Linked DNA regions of Elephas maximus indicus. The protein of the gene in region 2 purifies or fractionates together with the protein of the main gene of each other region. This does not show direct contact. Links are inferred from orthologs where the notes say so. Each region holds a gene or a part of one and is shown on either strand. Other genes may lie near its edges.

Evidence for each region.
Region 1: the proteins of SNX33 (region 2) and DNM2 purify together in Homo sapiens (co-immunoprecipitation; 3 studies listed by BioGRID and IntAct, with this or other methods). This does not show direct contact. The link is inferred for Elephas maximus indicus from reciprocal best matches to the Homo sapiens genes SNX33 and DNM2.

The regions. Positions count from the first base shown.
Region 1 is NC_064821.1:28,764,085-28,773,775, reverse strand, and holds the start of DNM2 (dynamin-2), read right to left. Parts: upstream 3,547-9,691; 5' UTR 3,387-3,546; coding exon 3,226-3,386; intron 1-3,225. Other genes in the region: QTRT1 (queuine tRNA-ribosyltransferase catalytic subunit 1), read right to left, coding at 6,295-6,447, 6,529-6,616, 6,698-6,807, 6,909-6,984, 7,185-7,323, 9,590-9,691. UniProt on the Homo sapiens protein: Catalyzes the hydrolysis of GTP and utilizes this energy to mediate vesicle scission at plasma membrane during endocytosis and filament remodeling at many actin structures during organization of the actin cytoskeleton.
Region 2 is NC_064831.1:65,539,845-65,549,514, reverse strand, and holds the start of SNX33 (sorting nexin-33), read right to left. Parts: upstream 3,551-9,670; 5' UTR 2,359-3,550; coding exon 888-2,358; intron 1-887. Other genes in the region: uncharacterized protein LOC126088049, read left to right, coding at 3,799-4,389, 4,988-5,152. UniProt on the Homo sapiens protein: Plays a role in the reorganization of the cytoskeleton, endocytosis and cellular vesicle trafficking via its interactions with membranes, WASL, DNM1 and DNM2. Acts both during interphase and at the end of mitotic cell divisions.

The DNA.
Region 1 (9,691 bases), on a different chromosome or scaffold from region 2:
TGAGCCAACTGGGCTGCTCTCACCCGGGCCACATTCTGAGACAAGCCACAGGGAAGCATCCAGGACACACAGCAAGCCCTACAGACCCCAGGTTCCAGACCTGGACAAAGGCCCCTGACACATGCTCTCGTTTATTCCCTGAAACCAGTCGGGACAGTCCACTGAATGCGTCCACTTTGCAGAAGAGAAAACTGAGGCTCTGAGCAGTGGCACGCCTTGGCTAAATTCACCAAAAGAATCCTCTGGCCCACCCTGAGCAGGGCTTTGAAGCTCAGAGGCCTTACCCATGTTTAAATTCTAACAGTACTTAAGCTCTGTTCCAGCACCCTGCACCTTAAGAGAGGCCTTTTAACAACTCTAATTTTCATGCAGTAAATTAATGCTCTTTAACAGCCAGTGTCTACATTGCTGGGTTCTGGGAGGCAGTTGCCACAGGAGCAGGTAACCAATCACCAGTGGGGCAGGAGAGGTGGGGAGGGAAGAGAAATTCAGCGCTGCCAACCCAGAGCCCTCAATTCCTTAATGAACAGCTTCAAGCAAGAGGACTCAGCTCTTTGAGCCTCAGTTTCCTGCCCTGTAAAACGGAGATCATAACAGTATTAGCCTCATGGGGCTTAAATGAAATTCAGCATGGAACTCGAAGGCACTTAACTCTTATTAGCTTTTGCTGTTGTTCTGAGAGGAACCAGCCCAGTGAAGAGCAGCCCGGTCAGGCACTGCGCTAAGTAAGCACTTCCAACACACCATGTCACTGCATCCTTGCAACAGCCTTGTTGAGGGTCCAGGGCCCCATTTTTAGGAGGGGAAACCGAGGCCCAGAGAGGTCAAACAATCTGCACAAGGTCACAAAGCAAATGAAACAGAGAGAGCTTCACAGAGGCCCACCAGAGGCTGGAAAGGCAGGAAGACGGCCAGAGGGGCTCACAGCCCAGCCTGGTTGAGCCCAAGTTCAGAGGCATATTGACAGAAAACAGCACCTAAGGCAAGCACTGAGATTGTACAATCTCTAAATTGCGCCCTGCCCCCCATTTGAGTGCCCACGGGCAATCTCTAAATTGCACTGCCCCCAGCCCCGACAATTTCAAAATGAACGGATGATGATAGCGGCAACAGGTCTTGTCCAGCTGCCTCAGTCACTTGCCTTTCATATTTGTAGCACCTGGGAAGATCATTTCCTACCTCATCTGGTTCCCCCCGGGCTTGTGCCTAGAGCAGGTATACCCCCACTCCCACCACACACACATACCCACCTGCCTCTGTGTCTATGGTGCTTGAGGCAGGACACTGAGGCAGGACATTGTGTCATGCCAGGTTAATGGAAACCCTGGTGGCATAGTGATTAAGAGCTACAGCTGCTAACCAACAGGTCAGCAGTTCGAATCCACCAGGCACTCCTTGGAAACTCTATAGGGCAGTTCTACTCTGTCCTACAGGGTCCCTATGAGTCAGAATCGACTCAAGGGCAACGGGTTGGTTTTTTTGGTCATTGGCGCTTCCCCTTCAAGTGGAGTGGTACCCAGGGCATATGCCATGCCTACCATACCTTAGATCCACCTCTGCCCAAGCCCACACCTTTCCGCTACACTGGACAGAGGCCAACCCACCAGGGACACAGCAGCACAGAAGGAAATTCATGCGCTGGGATCACAACCCCAGGCCTCTGGGAAGGCAACAGCAGGTCTGGGTGTCCAGCCAGGCTCTGTTGCATACCAGCCCAGTGGCCTTGGGCAAGCGGTGAGTCCTTTCTGAACCTCCCTGCTCATTTCTAAGGTTAGGATGGTAACGAAATCACCCCATGCTCATTGTGGAATGCAACACACGGAACAAGGAAAGAACTCAGCTGGGGCCTGCTCAGTGAACGCTACCCCTTCACACTGATTAACAATAACAAGGACGATGATGTTACCATTGGCAGCCACACAGCCACAAATGGAGTCCCTTCCGGGAATAGCGAAGTGACCAGGAAGGTGGAAGGACAAGAGATGTGGGAGGGAGAGAGAAGAATCAACAGTCCTCAGTGGTTGTAGGGCCTGGTCTCATTCATTAGTTTCCTGAACACTGGAAACAGCCCAGAGAGTGGAATTTGCACACTGCACGGATGGGCAAACAGGCCTCTCCAGAACGGTCCAGAAAAGACTGTATCTCAGCTCTTATCACTGAGGGCTGATGAGGCAAAAAGCCCCTTCCCAGGCTCCAAGGAGTGCTCCCCAATTTGCAGGCTTTAACTTGGGGGCTGGCCCATGATCCAGGGCCCCAGAGCATCCTAACATGGCCCAGGAAAGAATTCCGGGGAAAGTTCCCCAGGTCGTACTTCCAACAGAGAGTTGAACAGATTCAAGCCTCATCCTTTCGCTCTCTTCTCCCCTACTCCTTTTCCCCACCCCCTGCCAGAAGGGTTAGGCCAGACAGATGAAAAGCTAGGAGCTGCTGGGACTGTCATGGTAGACTAGGAGATGGACAGACATTGGATCCACCAGTACAGACAGACAGAAGGATCTGTTTGGAAGAGAGAAGCCAGGGTCCACCAGGGACCCAAATGAAGTGTCATCCCAGGAGAGCAAAACAACAGGGTCCTCCTTGGGTCCAGACAGCCAGTTAGATGGAGGAGACCAGCTAGGGTAACTCGACAGAGGGACGGGTAAGTGCTAACGTCTGTGAGGGGAACGGATAGGCAGCCAGACAGCAGAGGTCATCCTGAACAGCTAGCCAATCAGCAGGGGGCTGCCCGTGGGACTGGACAGATGGACAGCCAAATGGTGGTAGGGAGGTCTCTCCAGGCCAGACACAGCCAGCCAGAACGAGCTGCCCCTGATAAATGGCCAGCCGACTGCAGGGATCACCCCAATAGTTACCGAGGTGGCGCGTTCGCCCCTGGTAAACGGACAGACAGACGGAGTAGAGGGGGACCTACCCCAACCCAAAGGCAACCAGATGGCAGAGTTTACCCGCGAAGGCTGGGAACGTGACACACCGCAGGGGTCAATGGCGCCTCCTGCTCCACGCCCCCCAGACTGTAGGAACGCCCCTGGGGCCTGGGCCGGCTCCCCATTGCCTGTAGGGAGCCCTCTACCCAGAGCGCCCCACAGGGCCCGCCTCCCAGTCCCTGTCCCCGTCGCCGGCACGCAAGCGCCGCAGTTACGCCGGCGGCGCAAGGCGCGCCATTCCCGGGCCGCCCTCCGCGCCCTAGGCCACCGCCCGCCCGCCGTTCCCGCGGCGCTCGCTCACCGGCCCACGAAGTTCTCGAGCACCGAGCTCTTGCCAGCGCTCTGGCCGCCCACTACGGCGATCTGCGGCAGGTCCAGGTGGCAGCTCTGGCCGATGGAGCTGAAGGCGTCCTGCAGCTTGTTGACCAGTGGGATCAGCTCTTCCATCCCGCGGTTGCCCATGGCGCCGGCCGCCCCGGCCCGAGCGCCCCGCGCTCCCCGCCCGCCCCCGACTCAACGACGCGCCCCGCGGCGTCCGCGGCCGTTGCTCCCCGCCCGCCTGGGCCTCGGCGCTCCGCTCGGCTCCCGGCTCGGCCTCACTGTCGCCGCCTCATCCGGTTCTCAGGCAACACCCGACCTGAGCGACCTCCCGCCGGGGCCCCCGGGCTGGGCTTAAAACCATCGCGCCGCTCTTGATTGGTCAACCTGGCTGCCACTCGGGTACTCGAGCCAATGGAAGCGAGGCACGAGTTTACGGCTGAATAAGCCTTCCCCTAGGGAGCTTCTCGTGGACTCATTGGAAGGAAGAACTGTCGTTGTTATGCAAGAACCAATAGCGGCCGGAGCCAAGTTGTCAAGGCCGGGAGGCGGTGTTTCAGGAAAAGGTATGTTGGTCCCGCCCCTTGAAGAGGCATTCTGCCACTTTATTGGTAGAAAAACCCGCCAGTCCGGAAAGCCACCAATGATGTTAGGGCTCGATCCTTAGACACTGGTTTTCCCTAAAAATTTCCCATTGGCTTATATAAATATCACTCCGTTCCTCCAGCCAACAGATCAGAAGAGGGCAGGCTTTACATCTGAATTCTGATTCTGATTGAGAACTGTATCTGTCAATCAAAGTAACTCGTTCTTAACTTGTGATTGTTGGCCGCCTGTTGGGAGACTTCTGGAGTACAGGGTAGCGCTCGCCAAAGGGCGACACCTAGTGGTACGACCCGTCACTCTTCTGAGTTTCAGAGCTCTAGAGAAAAAGGCCTTCCACGAGATGGACTGACACATTGGCTGCAACAATGGGTTCGAACATAGCAACGATTGTGAGGATGGCGCAGGGCAGGGTAGTGTTTCTGTTATACATAAGGTGACTACGAGTCATAACTGAATCCACGGCCCCTAACAACAGGAAAAACTACAAGTCCCAGAATGCATCTCGGCTGCCGGCAGGCAAACCCGCTCTCGTCGCGGTTCGCTACGCACTTTGAAGAGAAGTTGGAGCCGGGCGATGTTGGTGCTCCCTAGCGAGAGACGGTCCATTCCTATAATGTCAAGCTCCATGCCTTTGCAAATAACTGTGCCCTCCCCTAGGAGTATCTTCCGCTGACGCCCCGCGTTGATGCAGCTACCTCTTCAACGTTGTTCCCTGCCTCTTCAACTTTAGTGCATCATGGGTCGTTTAGAAACCCAATGAAACACAACCGGGTCCACTCCCCACGAAGACACGCTATTCTGCAGGCAGAGTTGGAGTGTGGGAACTAGTATTCTTGACCTCTTGGAACAGATGCCGGAGATAGGTGGACGGATTTTAATAAGTTATTCGATCCCTCTGGGCACAGATGGGCCAGAGAATAGGGAACCAAGTGAGGAGGCAGGAGCATTGAAGGGGGAGAGGCAGCAGTAACCAGGGAAATGGAGAACCACTGTGGAAGATGGCAGAGCATGAACCAAAATCCCAGCGCTCAGAAAGACGGCAAAAAGGCCACCAACAAGGTTAGCCAACCTTGACCAGGATCACAGCAACCTGGAAACACCCTAGCTGTCCTTCCAGAAGGGCTGGTTAAATAAGTGCAATAGGGCCGCAGCTGCCATAAAGGAGAATGAGGAAGCTCTCCATGTACTTAGGTGTAAACCAATTTCTCAGATATACTACGAAGAAAAAAAAAAAAAGCAATACAGAAATGTATGTAAAGGACACTAACATTTATGAGAAAATAGGTGTACATGGAAAATTTCTGGAGGAATACACAAACCAATAAAAACTGTTGCACTTTTTGTGCTATTTGAATTGTTGATCATACACATGTATTATTTTTTCAATAACAAACCTTATTTTCTAAGAACGCTGGCTTTGTAATTGGTCATATCTAGGTTAGAATCCTGGGCCTGTTTATTTGCTGAGTGATAATGACTTCATTGCTCTGATCCTCAGTTTCCTCTTCTGTAAAATGAGGAATACAACTCTACGTGCGTCATAAAGTTGCAAGAATTAAATACACATGACTAGCATCAAAAACAGTGCCAAACACAGTGTAAGCTCCAACTAGGCCACACCTATTACCATCACTGTTGACTGAGAGCGAGATTAAGTCAAGTGTATGCAGTCAGGTCCCTAAAGATCAGCGCTTTGAACCCACCAGCTGCTCTGAGGGAGATGTGGCAGTCGGCTTCCGTAAAGATTTGCAGTCTTGGAAACCCTATGGGCCAGTTCTACCCTGTCCTGTAGGGTCACTATGAGTCATAATCAACCACAGCAACGAATCTGGTTTTGTTTTTCACTAACCTAAAGGTTGGTGGTTTGAACCTACCCAGCAGTGCTGTGGAAGAAAGGCCTAGCAATCTGTTTCCATAAAGATTAAAGACAAGAAAATCCTACGGAGCAGCTTTACTCTGTCACATGGGGTCGCTATGAGGCAGGGGTGACTTAACGGAGGGTATGCAGTCATGGAGGTAACAGAGGGGAGGCTGAGAGCGTGAACTGCCTGAGTTCAAATCCTGAGTCTGCCACTCCCTCAGTGGGTGATCCTGAGCGAGCTCCTTTTCCTTTCTGGGCCTCAGTTTTCTCACCTGTGAAAAAGGGAAGAACAAGAGTACCCACCACCAGGGTGGCTGAGGGGCCTGGGCCACAGCTTCCATCTTGGGTACATCCTACACACTGGGCTGTGCCAGGTGCTTTCCAGATACCAGGAGCTGCTGTGGTTACTTGTTATCAGTGTGAGGGGAGAATGTCTGTCACAGTGAAGCTCAGACCAGGAAGGAGACCAAGACTGGATTCCTCCCCAAGAAGACACAGAGTCATGATGTTAGAATGAAAAAACCAAACCTTCAATATCTTCCAGTCCCTCCCTCTTCCCCCAATGCCGGAAGCCCCCTGGCCAGCTCAGCCCAGTGTGATTCCCACAGAGGCCAGGGCTTCGGTGGCCCAGGTGGGGTAGAGGGTGGGGTCCCCGTACATAGTGTCCATGAAGTTACGCACGAAGTCGGGGAAGCGCTTCTCCACGATGCTGGCTCGCACAGCACTCATCAGCTGCAGCTGCAGGGAGGGGGCGACATCGTGAGCCAAGGGAGGCCCAAAACCCTGCCTATTCCCTCACCCACCCAGCCACAGGCCCACCTGGTAGGCAATGTTGTGGACAGTGAGGTGGTGCAGGGCGGCGGTGTTGTCACTGTGGAGCAGTGCATGCAGGAAGGCCCGGCTGTGCCTGTGGTCCAGGGGGTCGGGGTCAGCAATGCTGGGTCCTGCCGCTCCCCCCACCTTCCCTCAACCCCTAGGCCTCGCCTACTTCTGGCAGGTGGGGCAGGTGCACTCAGGGTTGATGGGACCAAAATCCTTCTCATACTGCTTCTTCTTTAGCTGCAGATTCCCAGTGGGCACCAGGGCAGAGCCAAAGCGCTAGGGGAGGAGAGAGGCAGGGGAGGAGGGTCACCCAAGTCTTCACCCTCCCCGCCCCCACCCCCAGCTCCGCCCTTGCCTGCCCCTGCCCAGGGCCTCACCGCCGTCCGTGTGGGGAAGACACAGTCGAACATGTCACATCCGAGAGCCACGCAGACCACCAGATCGGTGGCATAGCTGGGGGTGAGGCCATGGGGGGAGGGGAGCAGTGAACCTCAAACCCTTGGCCTGGGCTTCCTCCCCACCCTCAGGTTTCCTGGGCCTAGGCCATAGTCCCTCAGAACCACCCGAGGGGAGGGCTGGATCCTGCTTAATCCTCCCTCTCCCCAACCCCCACTCCCACATGTGGGGCCCTGTCTCCCCTCTCCCCTACATACCCAACCCCCATCAGGTATCTGGGCTTGTCCTTAGGCAGTCGCGAGGTGCTCAGCGCCACCATCCTCCAGAACTGGCCCTTGCTCTCGCCCCCGCTCAGGCCCCCGATGGCAAAGCCTGGCACGTCCCTCTTGGTCATCTCTGGGGGCACAGGGCAGGATGAGGGGTGGCCAGGCAAGGGAAAATTACTTCCCATCCCTAAGCAGACCCTCAGGAAGGGAGAGAAAGTGCGTGAGCGTGTGTATGTATATGGATGGGGGGCTGCTGGGGACCTTAGCTACCATTTATCGAACGCCTGCTGCACGTAAGACCCTCTCCTTCAATCCTCAGGAGTGGGACATGGGCCCACACTTGCTTACCTAAGACCTTTAGAGCCAGATTTGTTTCAGAAGTTTCTAGATTTTAGAACAGTGAGCATCCTATATGCTGGGTAACAGCCAGTCATGAAATGCTGTACCATGTCTACAGCAAAATGGGTGAAGACTTGAAATGTGTGAGACAAATAACAACACAGGTCTGGTTTTGTCACCATATGAATTGCAGACGTCGGAGCTTTTTAGGTTTTAGACTTGGATGGCTCCAGAAGTGTAGAGAAGGGATGGGAGACCTGCACTGTTGTTGAGCTCGTCCAACAGATGAGGAAATGGAGGCTCGGAGAGCTGACACCACATATGCCAGCAGGTGGATTCAAACTCAAGTCTGGCCTCAAAGCCCAGGCTTGTCTCAGGCCCCAGCTGCCAGTTCAATCCAGGGGAGGCCACAGCATCAACAAAGCAGGTGCTGTCTGGGGCTGGGTGTTGTAGCTAGAGTGAGCAGCAGAAGCAACTGGGGACAGGTTGGTTAAACGCAGGTTCCCAGGCGTTCCTCCTCTCCCCACCCAATCATGGAGGAACACCCAGAAGGCTGCATTTTACCAGCCCTCCTCAGTAGGGGGGGCTGGTGTAGGTAAGCCTGGGAGCACGCTGATGCTTGTCAAACTGCAGGTGGAGGGGAACTGAATATGATGGGGAGAGACCAGCAGTGTTGTTTGCGAATGAAAAAACCACAGAAAATACCAGAAAGCATTGCAAGGGTAATGCTTCCTGAAGCTCTGATGTCTGTTTTCATGCACATCTGCAGGAACTGAGAAGTGATGGGAAATGGATCACTGACTGTGGGTCTCAGTTAAAAGACTGAAAGCTACTGGACCAGGGCAGGGGAGAGGAGACTTGGGGACGAAGAGGGATCACAACAAGGACAATCTCAATAACCAAGCTGATGCCAGGCACCGGTGGGGCACTTTGAGCGGATTTTCCCATTTCATCCTCACTTCGACCCCATTACATTGGGAGTATTTTCCCATTTTACAGAGGAAAAAAGTGAGGCTCAAAGACGCAAAGCCACTGGCCCAAGGCCATGCAGCCATGAAGCCATGGAAGTGTGCCTGAGGGACTCACAGAACCCAGGGTCTTGCCCATGATGCCTCATGGCCTGAGTCTCCCATCTGTGCCTCCCTTTGTCTCCATGGCCATGGCCTTGCTTCCAGCCTCATCACCCTGGGCCCCCACTCCGGCCTCCTGATGGGCCTCCCATGTCCTTACTTTCTAAGAACACCCGGTTTGTAATTAGTTGTATTGAGGTGAGAATCCTGGGCCTGTTTATTTGCTGGGTGATAACGACCAAGTGACTTCATTGCTCTGGTCCCAGTTTCCTCTTTTGTAAAATGGGGAACACAACTCTACATGCATCATAAAGTTGCAAGAATTAAATACACATGACAAGCGTTGAGAACAGTGCCAATTACAGGGTAAGCTCTGGCTAGGCCACATCAATTATCATGACTGTGTTGTTTTTCTCTGATGCTTCTTGCTTCCCGTCACTCTCCTGCTAAGCCCCTCCATGGCTCCCCAATGCCTCAATGGGGTGTCCCAGGGCCTCCATTGTTGGCACACTGCCCACGGCCCAGCCCCTCAGTCCTGACCCCGTGTGTCATCTCGGCCAAGAGCAGCACTGTGGAGCAGTTAGTGCTGTAGGTTCTGGAGCCTGAAGACGTGGGTCCCAACCCCAGCTCTGCAACATCCGAGCTGTGCAGTCCACGGTGAGTCACATAACAGCTCTGTGCCTCAGTTTCCCCATCTGTTACTCGGAAGCCTAGCAGTCTGTCCCCACGTTATAGGATGTCTGTGAAGACTCCATTGTGGGTAAGTTGGGTGCCTAGTGAATGTCCGAAAACCTTTAGCTATTGCAATTACTATTATCTTTAAATATGCTCCATGCCATGCTGCCTCTGGGCATTGGCTCTAGCTGTGCACTCCACCTGGGATGCCCTTTCGCCCATAGCCACCACTGCCTGAACCCCGTTGTATGCCAGGCCCACATGGGACCACGGTGAAGGACAAGCTCCAGTCCTGCCAGCAAGTGGCTTTACCTTCAAGGCAAGTAGCCCGGAGATCTGCATCCAGCCCACCCTGGATGATGGCAAAGAGGTTCTGCTTGTCCGGCCGCCGATGGGCTGCAATGCACCGGTCCA
Region 2 (9,670 bases):
ACTCACTCCTCAGACGAGAAGCAGACTCCAGAAGAGGGAGTTGGATGGGGGTATGTGGGCAGTACCCTGGCCCCCTGGTTCCGCTCCCCTGGCCCGGCCTGGCGCCCCTGTGTGACCCGGGATGAGTCATTTCCCTGGCAGTTCCTTGACAGCCCCAGCAGTAACAGGCGGGGGCCCATCCTGTCCTCTCCTATAGAGGGGGCATGAGAACTGAAAACAAGGCTGGGCTTGAGAGGCAGCCAACACAGACATGTCCTTGGGGAGGTGGTGGGAGGAAGGGACAGACCCAGCTGGGCTTCTGACTCCCAGTGCAACTGTCCATCTCTGGATACCAGTTTCTTCATCTGCAAAATGGGGGCAGCAATCCCCCTGCACACAGATAGGGAGCTCACAAGATAGGCAGAGGATGAGAACAGGCTCTGAAGCTACAGACAGGGCAAGGGAGCTTGTGAGGAGTGGGAATGTAGGCCTGCACTCTGTGCTCTCATTATCAGGTTCTGTGTGTGTCAACATGAGCCCGTGGGCTCTTCAGTGGTGAGGCCTGGGGCCTGATCATTTCTATGTTACCTTGAAAGGCCTCAGTGCATGGTGGTTAAATGATCAAGTCAGACAGAAACAGAGGAAACAAATGAATGAACACTGTCAACAATAAGGTAAACAGTGTGCTCCGTGAGGACAGGGACCAGGCCTGTCCACAACAATATCCCTGCGCCTAGAATAGCACCTGGCACATGGTAAGGTCTCAACACATTTGTTGAATGAATAAGTAAGACAACAGAAAGACGAGATAAGCTGCTCTGTTCTGCCTAGATCATCCCAGTTTCCCCAGTGCCCAGCAAGCAGAGTGCCAGAGTCCGTAAGGGTTTCCTGCCTGCACAGGGTCTTACCTTTCTGCAGGTGGATGATGTCCGGGAAGTTGGAGAGCAGGCCCTGGTAGAGAGACAGCATGTCAAGCATCTGGAAGAGGTCGTTCTTGGGCTGCTCAGCGAACATCTCACCGACAGCTTCGTAGGTGCGGCCCGTGTGAGAAATGGCATTGTTGAGGGCCTCAGAGCCAAAGGGGGGGTCCATCTGGAAGGAATGACTGATGGCCTGGAAGGCACTGCCCAGCTTCTGGAATTCCTTGCGGAAGCCCCCCACATGCTTACGCACCAGCTCTGATGCCACAGTGCTGAGCTGCAGGACGCTGTCATCCATCTTCTTGCTGAAGGCCTTGAAGGTGTCCACACGGTCCTCCACATCCTGCAGGTCCTGGTGCTCTGTGGGAATCTGGAAGGTGAGCAAGAAGCTGGCACCCACCATCTCGTCCCTCTCCGCCCGGCGTTTGCCCATCTTCCACTGCCTGTTATCCAGGCAGCTGAGGAAATGCTGGAAGCCTTCATACTGAGAGAGCACAGGGTGGCTGGTCATGTGGTCCATCCAGAGGATAAGCCGCCGCTTCCGCTTCTCAATGAAGTCTTCCTCAAAACGGCCTGTGGCCTGCTTCTCAGGCAGGTGGGGCACTGAGATGACAGTGAACTTGTGCAGCAGGCGGTTGTAGAGCCAATCGAAGTGTTTATAGCGCCGGTAGACAGGTGAGCCAACGTGGCTGGGTGTAACCTTGTAGGAAATGTAGCTTTTGATGCCCTTGAATTTGGTCTGTTTGGTGGGATCCTCCACGGTGCAAGCAAATGGGTGGGGGTTGGCCTTCCACTGGGGGCCACGAGGGCCCATTTCAATGGAATATGTCTCAATGATCTTGGTCATCATGGGCACATCACCCAGGATAAAGGCCTCCACTCCAGAGCGCACAAAGCATGAGAAACGGTTGAGGTTGCGCCCCACCATGCTGCCTCGCTTGGCTAACGCCAGGCTATCCTGCCGCTCTAGGGTTGGCTTGGGCCGGAAATCCATGTGCTGGCTGGGGTAGGCACCTGGGTAGGAGAGGTTGAGTGGGGGGTGCCCATTGGTGCCCAGCCCACCAGCTGGCGGTTCCTCCACCACTGTGCAGCTGTCATCCCAGTCATCCCAGTCATCTTCATCATCCTCCTCAAAGCTGCCCTGGTTAGAGAGGAAACCACTGCCCCCAGCGGTACTGGCTGAGTTGGCCACACTGGGGCTGTCGTGCAAGCTCACCTGGGTGCCCAGAGAGGCTGCAGGGCTGATGGAGTAGTAGGCATGGTTGGAGCTGGCATCAGAACGGATGATCTCCACATAAGAGGCGGGAAAGAGCCCGGTCTCACCGCGGCTATTCTGGCCCTGCAGCCAGCCGTCCAGCGAGGTTTCACTAAAGATGACCAGGTCCTCATCCTGCTGGATGCTGATTTCCTCCTTGTTCTCGCTGCGGAAGTCATAGAGAGCCCGGCCTTTCAGTGCCATCGTGAGCTGGGTGGTAGAGACGGGAAGGAGAGGGTGCTGCCAGAACCCCAGATGCTCACTAAGCTGTCCAAGAATACACTAGCTGCTCGGAGCCTGTCTCTGCAGCCTGGTCCCTCAGCCCCTAAGGCAGGGTCTCAGCACCCATGGATGCTGTCCAGCCTCCCTCTCTTCAGAGCAATGTCCATGGCTCAGAAACTGCCCTATCCAGTCTCCAGGCACAGGACCGTGAGCAGGGAGGGCTCATGTCCACAGTCTTCCTTCCTGCCCTCAGCAGACCCTGAGGGGTATGTGCGGGAGGACTCCCCCTCCTCCTACTCCCAGAAGAAAAGCCAAGTGACTTAGTGAAACCAGCCCTTCCAGGGCAAGAGTTCCACACTTTCCACTGGAATAATGTTCTGAAATAGAAGAGAATCACTAGGAAACCACGGTTCCTGAAACCCAAGCAGGGCCCTGCCGTCCCTCTGGCTCCCAGCTTCTTCTGGCTGCTCTGCCCTCGGGAGGCTCTCGCATTCCTTCGCGGATCGGCTCCTTCCTCCTTCCTCCTCCTCCTGGGCCACCGGGTTTTCAAAAATCCAGAAAATCCAAGAGGGGCAAGGAGAAAGCACAGCCGCCTGAATCGAGTCCAAGGGTGGATGTGTCCGGCTTCACAACGAGCCAGGCCGGGAAAACAAGGACTGAGGCTTACACAACAGGCCGCCAACTCCCGACCCCGGCGGCGCAGCAGGCAGGCCCCAGGCCGGCTCGAGGTGCCCTCTCCCCGCCCCCCGAGAGGCCAGCCCCGACTCCGGGGAAGGAGGGAGCGCGACGAGCCTGTCTAGCGACTTCTGGCCACTAGCTGCGTGGACTCCTGTTTGCTTAATTCCTCAGCAGTTTCTCAGCCTGAAGCTGACCCTGATGTAAGGACCCGTCCAAAGGTAACCAGTCCCGGCGCGCGCGCGACGTCCAGACCCCCACCCCCTCGCCCCTGGCGCGCAAGCACACACTCAACAGTAGTTTGGAGAGTAAGCTCGGTGGAGCAGATGGCGCGGTCGTCTGTCTGTGGGTTCGTCCTCCTGCTCTGCCCTACCGGGCACGGCCGGTGGGCAGCGGGCTGCGCCCCCAGCCCGCCTTCTCCTCCTGTACTCGCAGCCCCTCTCCACTGCCTGCGAGAAGCCAGCTCCAAAACAAAACAAAACAAAACAAAGGCGATTCTGGGAGGTGGCGTCCCGAGGAAGGAGGGAATAGCCGAAAGCGGGGGGAGGTGAGGGTGAGGAGAGGGAGGGAGGAAAAGCAGGCTAGGGAATTGGGCGAACTCCACAGCACTTCCGTGCGTCGGGACTGGGCAGGCACGGCCCGGCTCCGCCTTCCCGCGGGCCTGGGGCGCTGGGGCCGGCCCCCGCCAACTCCGCCTAGCTTCTTCCCACCTCGCGGTCGCCCTCACTTCTTTGCTCTCCGTCCTGGATGGGAGACAGAGGGAAGAGAGGACCCAGGAAAAGGGGGGACGATGCACCGACCCCCAGCCCGTCCTCCCTCACCGGGAGACACCTCTCGCCCCCGGGGTCTGAGCGTCGCGCTGGGGAGTTCGCCAGCCTCCGCCGCCTGGTTCCGGGGCTCCGTCACCCTCTAGTCTTTTCCGTGACGCAAGTGGAGGAAAACTCCGAAAGTTTGCAAAGCTCGGGGCTGCAAGGAGGGTGCCAGAGCCGGAACCTGGGGGAAGAAGAGAGCGTGGAGAAACGCGAGATTCCCAGGGGAACAGGGCCAAGGACGTCGCCCTGCCCTGGTGGGAACGGGCAGTGGCGCAGCTCAGCGATTGTTCCCCGGAGCGGGCCCCACAGGCTTCCTCACCCAGGGCGAGCACTGTCCTCACGGAAGCAACCTGCGCTTCCCCTGCATCTGACCTGGGATCCCGGCCGCTGCGGGTACCCCTCGCCAACTAGAGTCTGGAGCACTCCTGCCCTTGGTGACTTTCTTCAGGGGGAAGGACAAGACCCCATATCTGCAGTGACAGAGATCAAGCCAGACACCACCCGTGGTGCTTTGTGCGGGCAGTGGGTATGCTGTCCTTGCCAGAAGCAGTGAGGAGGGAGGGGTGGTGTTGGTAGGATTCTGGGAGGGGGCTAGCCCAGATTTGGCCCTTAGTGAGCCAGTCAGCCCATACAGAGGACTTTGGGCAGTGACTCTGCCAAGCACTGCGCTGGGCACTGGGGGTTACCACACAAGGCAGGCAGTCGGGGCTCCTGCCCTGGGGGGCTTACAGTCCACCCTCTTGTGTTTAATTCATCCATTCAGTCTGTCTCATTCATTCAATCACGCAGTCAAGAAAAATTGAGTGCCTACTGTGTACCAGGCACCCTGGAATACAAAGATGAGTAAGACATTGTCCTTACCTTCCAGTTCAGATGTGTCATGACAAGCAGATAGATAGATAAACCCGTTCGCTTTGACCAGTAGTACCGTGATAAGTACGTAGGAGGGTACCTACCCCAACTGGGTAGAGTAAGGACCAGGGCGGCTTTCCCAAGGAGGAGGTATCTAAGGTGAGGCAAAGGTTTTGGCATCCTTCTTTTACTGGCTATGCCCTGGAGCCTTGTCTACCCCCTCTAATAAGAACTTCCTTCCCCCTCATTCTCGCCCTTTCCACTTGTTGCAGATTGAGTCGCACCAGGGAGTGCTCCTAAAGGTGGCCACCTTTGCCTGTTGTGAAGGGTGTGATTCCCAAGTCTCTGGCTCCAAAACCCACTTTCATTGGCACAATGAGTGGAGCAAGCTCCCTGTGCAGAGCTGGCATTTGGCCAGAATAAAGGCTGATGTATGAAGCCCAGGTATTAATTTGCACAGAGAAATACAACTGTCAAGAGAGACCTGCATTTCTGTGTCAAGGGATCAAAGCAGTTTGGGCTGCTCCTTGGGAAGCCCAGTTACCAAGAAGTTTGCCCAGTGAGCTTGGGACCTCCTGTGAGGAGAAGAAGGTGATGGTATGACACATTCTCAGCCAAGGAAGCCTGATATCTTGTCCCCCACCATAGGGGTGGCCTTGATTCTAAGGACTCTGTTTAGCCCAGTATCTCCAAGGCCAAATTCCCTCAACTGCTTCTGGGACCTCACTTTCCTGTGATCTCTCTTCTGTTTGCATTGCCGCTCTCCAAGCTGGGTATAATAATAACAACTACTTCCTTAGTGCTTGCTAAGTGATAAACCAAAAAAAAAACCAAACCCATTGCCATCGAGTCAATTCTGACTCATAGCGACCCTATAGGACAGAGTAGAACTCCCCCATGGGGTTTCCAAGGACTGCCTGGTGGACTCGAACTGCCAACCTTTTGGTTAACAGCCGTAGCTCTTAACCACTATGCCACCAGGGTTTCCTGCTGAGTGATTAAAAAAAAAAAATTTTTTTTTTTTTAGACACTTGTAAATAAATACTTTACCTTTATTAGCTCACTTAATACCACTGATGAGTTTCTGCTCACCCAACTACCATCCCAGTCCAGCCCAACTCCCCTGAGGGACTCCCAGGTCCCAACTTGCCGACCTTTAGTTGGTTTCCAAACACTTCAGTCACACATTTACAGACCAACCATCTTGTGATTAATTTCATATCTGTTCCAGATGGGTTTTTCTAACTCTCAGGGGCCACTCTTATTTCCAGACTCTGGAGAAGAACTCACTCTTCAGCCTCACAGAGATTTCTAGAACCTGTATCTTCTACTCCCTCCCCTCCAGGGCCCCACTTCAGGCCTAGGGTAACAACCCCAGGGTTACTAGTCTCAGGAAACTGCACCAATCTTTGTGGTTCGTTTCCACATACGCTGCCTGTTCCTTTGGAAAAAGAGTCCTTTTATTAAATTCTCCTCAAAGTATTCTAGTTGGAGTAAGTTCTGTCCTGCTGGGACCCGGAACCCTAACTGATTCAGATGCATACGTAAGAAACTTCAGCCAGCCAGCCAGCCAGCCATTCAATTTCCATTCTGTAGGAAAGGAGGAGTCATCAGTGCAGAACTGTGGCCAGTGGCTTCCAGGCAGACCCTAGGACACTGGTGGCTGGTGGTGCCTAGAGGACACATGTTGGACTATTACTGTAGTACCACAGACGAGAGGTGATGAGGGCCTACGGTAAGGCAGGGGTAATGGGGCTGAGAAGTAAATCTGGGAGAAGTTTTGGAGGTATTATAAACTGGATTGATGACCAACAAGATGTGAGTGTTGAGGGAAGAGTCAACCCATATTTTAAAAAATTTCTCCTCTTGACTCCACTTCCCCCCACCAGCGACCACTCCCATTTCTCCGCTTGCCTTTGCAGCAAAATTCCTCAAATTAGCCATCTATACTCATTGACTCCAATTCCTTTCCTCCCTTTCTCTTCTAAACTCCTCTAGCCAGGCTTTCACTCCCATGTTCCACTGAAACTATTATTGTCAAGATCATCAAAAACCTCCATTTTGCTGGATCCCAGTGGTCACTTTTCAGTCCTCATCTTACTCAACCTCTTAGCAGCATTTGACCTATTTGTCACTCCTTCCTCCTGAATACACTTTCTTTACTTCGCACTGGGGAGACCACACTGTCCTGGTTTTCTTTCTACCTCACTCTTCTCTCCAATATAGTGTTAACAGTAGAGTGACCACAGTAGAGTGTCCTCTTGTCTTTTCTATCGACGCTCACTCCTTTGATAATTTCATCCAGTCTCATGGCTTCAAACATCACCTACATGCTGATAATGCACAAATTATTTTACCTCTGAAACTCCAAACTCATATATACTTTTACTCGATTTCTCCCCTTGGATGTTTTAGAGACATCTCTAACATGTCCAAAATTGAATTTCTGATTTTCCCCATCTCAGGTGATGGCAAGTAAATTCTTCTAGTTGCTTAGGCCAAAAACCTGGAGTCATTCTTGACTCCTCAGCATTCACTACTGTTCTCCTGGTCCCAGCCACCATCCTTCTCACCTGGTTCACTGCAACGGCTTCCTAATGGTCTCTCCACTTCCACCCTGACCTCCCCAAAGTCTATTGTCAACACAGCAGTCAGAGTGATCCTTTTAAAACCTAAGTCAAATCATGTCAGTCCATCCTGACAGGGAACACAACAAAGAACCCCTGAGGGAGCAGGAGAGCAGTGGGATGCAGACCCCAAATTCTCATAAAAAGACCAGACTTAATGGTCTGACTGAGACTAGAATGACCCCGGAGGTCATGGTCCCCAGACCTTCTGTTAGCCCAAGACAGGAACCATTCCCAAAGCCAACTCTTCAGACAGAGTTTGGACTGGACTATGGGATAGACAATGATACTGGTGAAGAATGAGCTTCTTGGATCAAGTAGACGCACGAGACTATGTTGGCATCTCCTGTCTGAAGGGAAGATGAGAGGGGTAGAGGAGGTTAGAAGCTGGCTGAATAGACACGAAAAGAGAGAGTGGAGGGAAGGAGTGTGCTGTGTGCTGTCTCATTAGGGGGAGAGCAATTAGGAGTATATAGCAAGGTGTTTATCAATTTTTGTATGAGAGTCCAACTTGATTTGTATACTTTCACTTAAAACACAATAAAAATTAAAAAAAAAAAAATCACGTTGGTCCTCTGCTTAGAATCCAGGCATTTTGGTCTAATTGCCTCCATGAACTACTATTTCCATTGCCATGAGACCAGAAGAACAGGATGGTGTCCGGCTACCATCAGTGAACGTTTTGATCAAGGACCCAATAGCTGGATCCTGATCAAAAATAGGAAAAATGTGGAACAAATTTTCAAATTCTTATAGAAACCAGACTTACTGGACCCATTGAGACTGGGGGGACCCCTGAATCTATTGTTCTGAGATAATCTTGAAGTCTTGAACCCAAATTATCCCATAAAGCCATCTTTAAACTAAACAACAATTTAGGTCAACTAGTAGAGAATGTTCACCTTGAGCAGTGTGCTCTTCTAAAGAATGACTATATGAGATCAAACAGACAACAGTAATTCTAAAACACAGAGAAGTTTAGGGAACAGAGAGCCTAAGTTAATGGTGGTGAAACAATATGGGTAGAGATATCGAGAATGGTGACACAATGCGAACAATGTAACCAATATCTTGAACTGTACATGTAGAAAATGTTCAGTGAATGCATGTTTTATTATGTATATTTTCACCAAAAATTAAGACAAAAAACTTGCAATGTCCCCATCTCAATCAACATAAAGTCAAAGTCCTACAAGGGCCTATAAGTCTTTATGTTACCTGATTTCCCTTTAATCTCTTCCTTTCCTCCCTGCCCACTCTGCTCTAGCCAAAATAGCTTTCTTGCTCTTCTGACATGCCAGCCACATTCCTGCCTTAAGGCATTGGTGCTGACTGTTCCTCTTCCCAAAATGCTCTTCCCCTAGATATCTACCTATAAAATATCACCTTCTCAAAAAGACTTACCCTGACCTACCCTATTTAAAATTCTATCCCACCCTCACCTCAGGCCCTCCTTATTTTCTATATCCTGCTCAATTTTGCTTCATAGCACATACCATCTGTTAACATAAAATTTTTATATATACATAAAATATAACATATAGTTTATTTATTTATTATGTTTATCATCTGTCTCTCTCCCCTCACTGGAATGTAAGCTTCACAAGGCAGCACTTTTTGTCTGTTTTATTCCCTAATGGATCCCAAGTACCTCGAACAGAATCTGTTATATAGCAAGTCTCAGTAAATATTTGTTGAATGAATTGAATGAAATTCATAGCTAAAAAAAAATCGGATTTTTTTAAAAAAGGAAAAAGAGTAAGTCTGCGGAAAAGACGGTTTCCCTTTTGTACTTGCAGACTTCTAAGTGCCTGTAGGAAATTCAAGTTAAAAAAAAAAAAAGAAAAAGTTAAGAGCTCAAGCTCTGGAATTGGGCAGGCACTCATTGCTTATCAGCTTTCACACTTAGCAGCTGTATGACCTTAGGCAAAATACTAACCCCTCTGAGCCTCAGTTTCCTCACCTATAAAATGGGGGTGATGACAGTACATATTTTACAGGGGTTTTGTGAGGATTAAATGAGATAATTCATTGAAGCTCCCAGAAAGTTCTGGCTATTAGGAAGTGGACTAAGTGGTTGGGAATATGGATCTGCAGCTTAAGAGAAAGAATGACTTTCTAGTTAGTCTTGAAAGGCCTGGACTAATAGATTTGAGAATTGTGAATTTTCATTTCCACTCCAGATATACTGAATCAGAATCTACATTTTTACTAAGATCTCCAGGTGAGTCTCAGCAGGGAGCCAAACCAGAAAGAACCAGTTTGAAGCCCTGTTTGCAACACAGAGAAGTGGTTAAGGATTAATATCCAGAATATATAAAGAACACC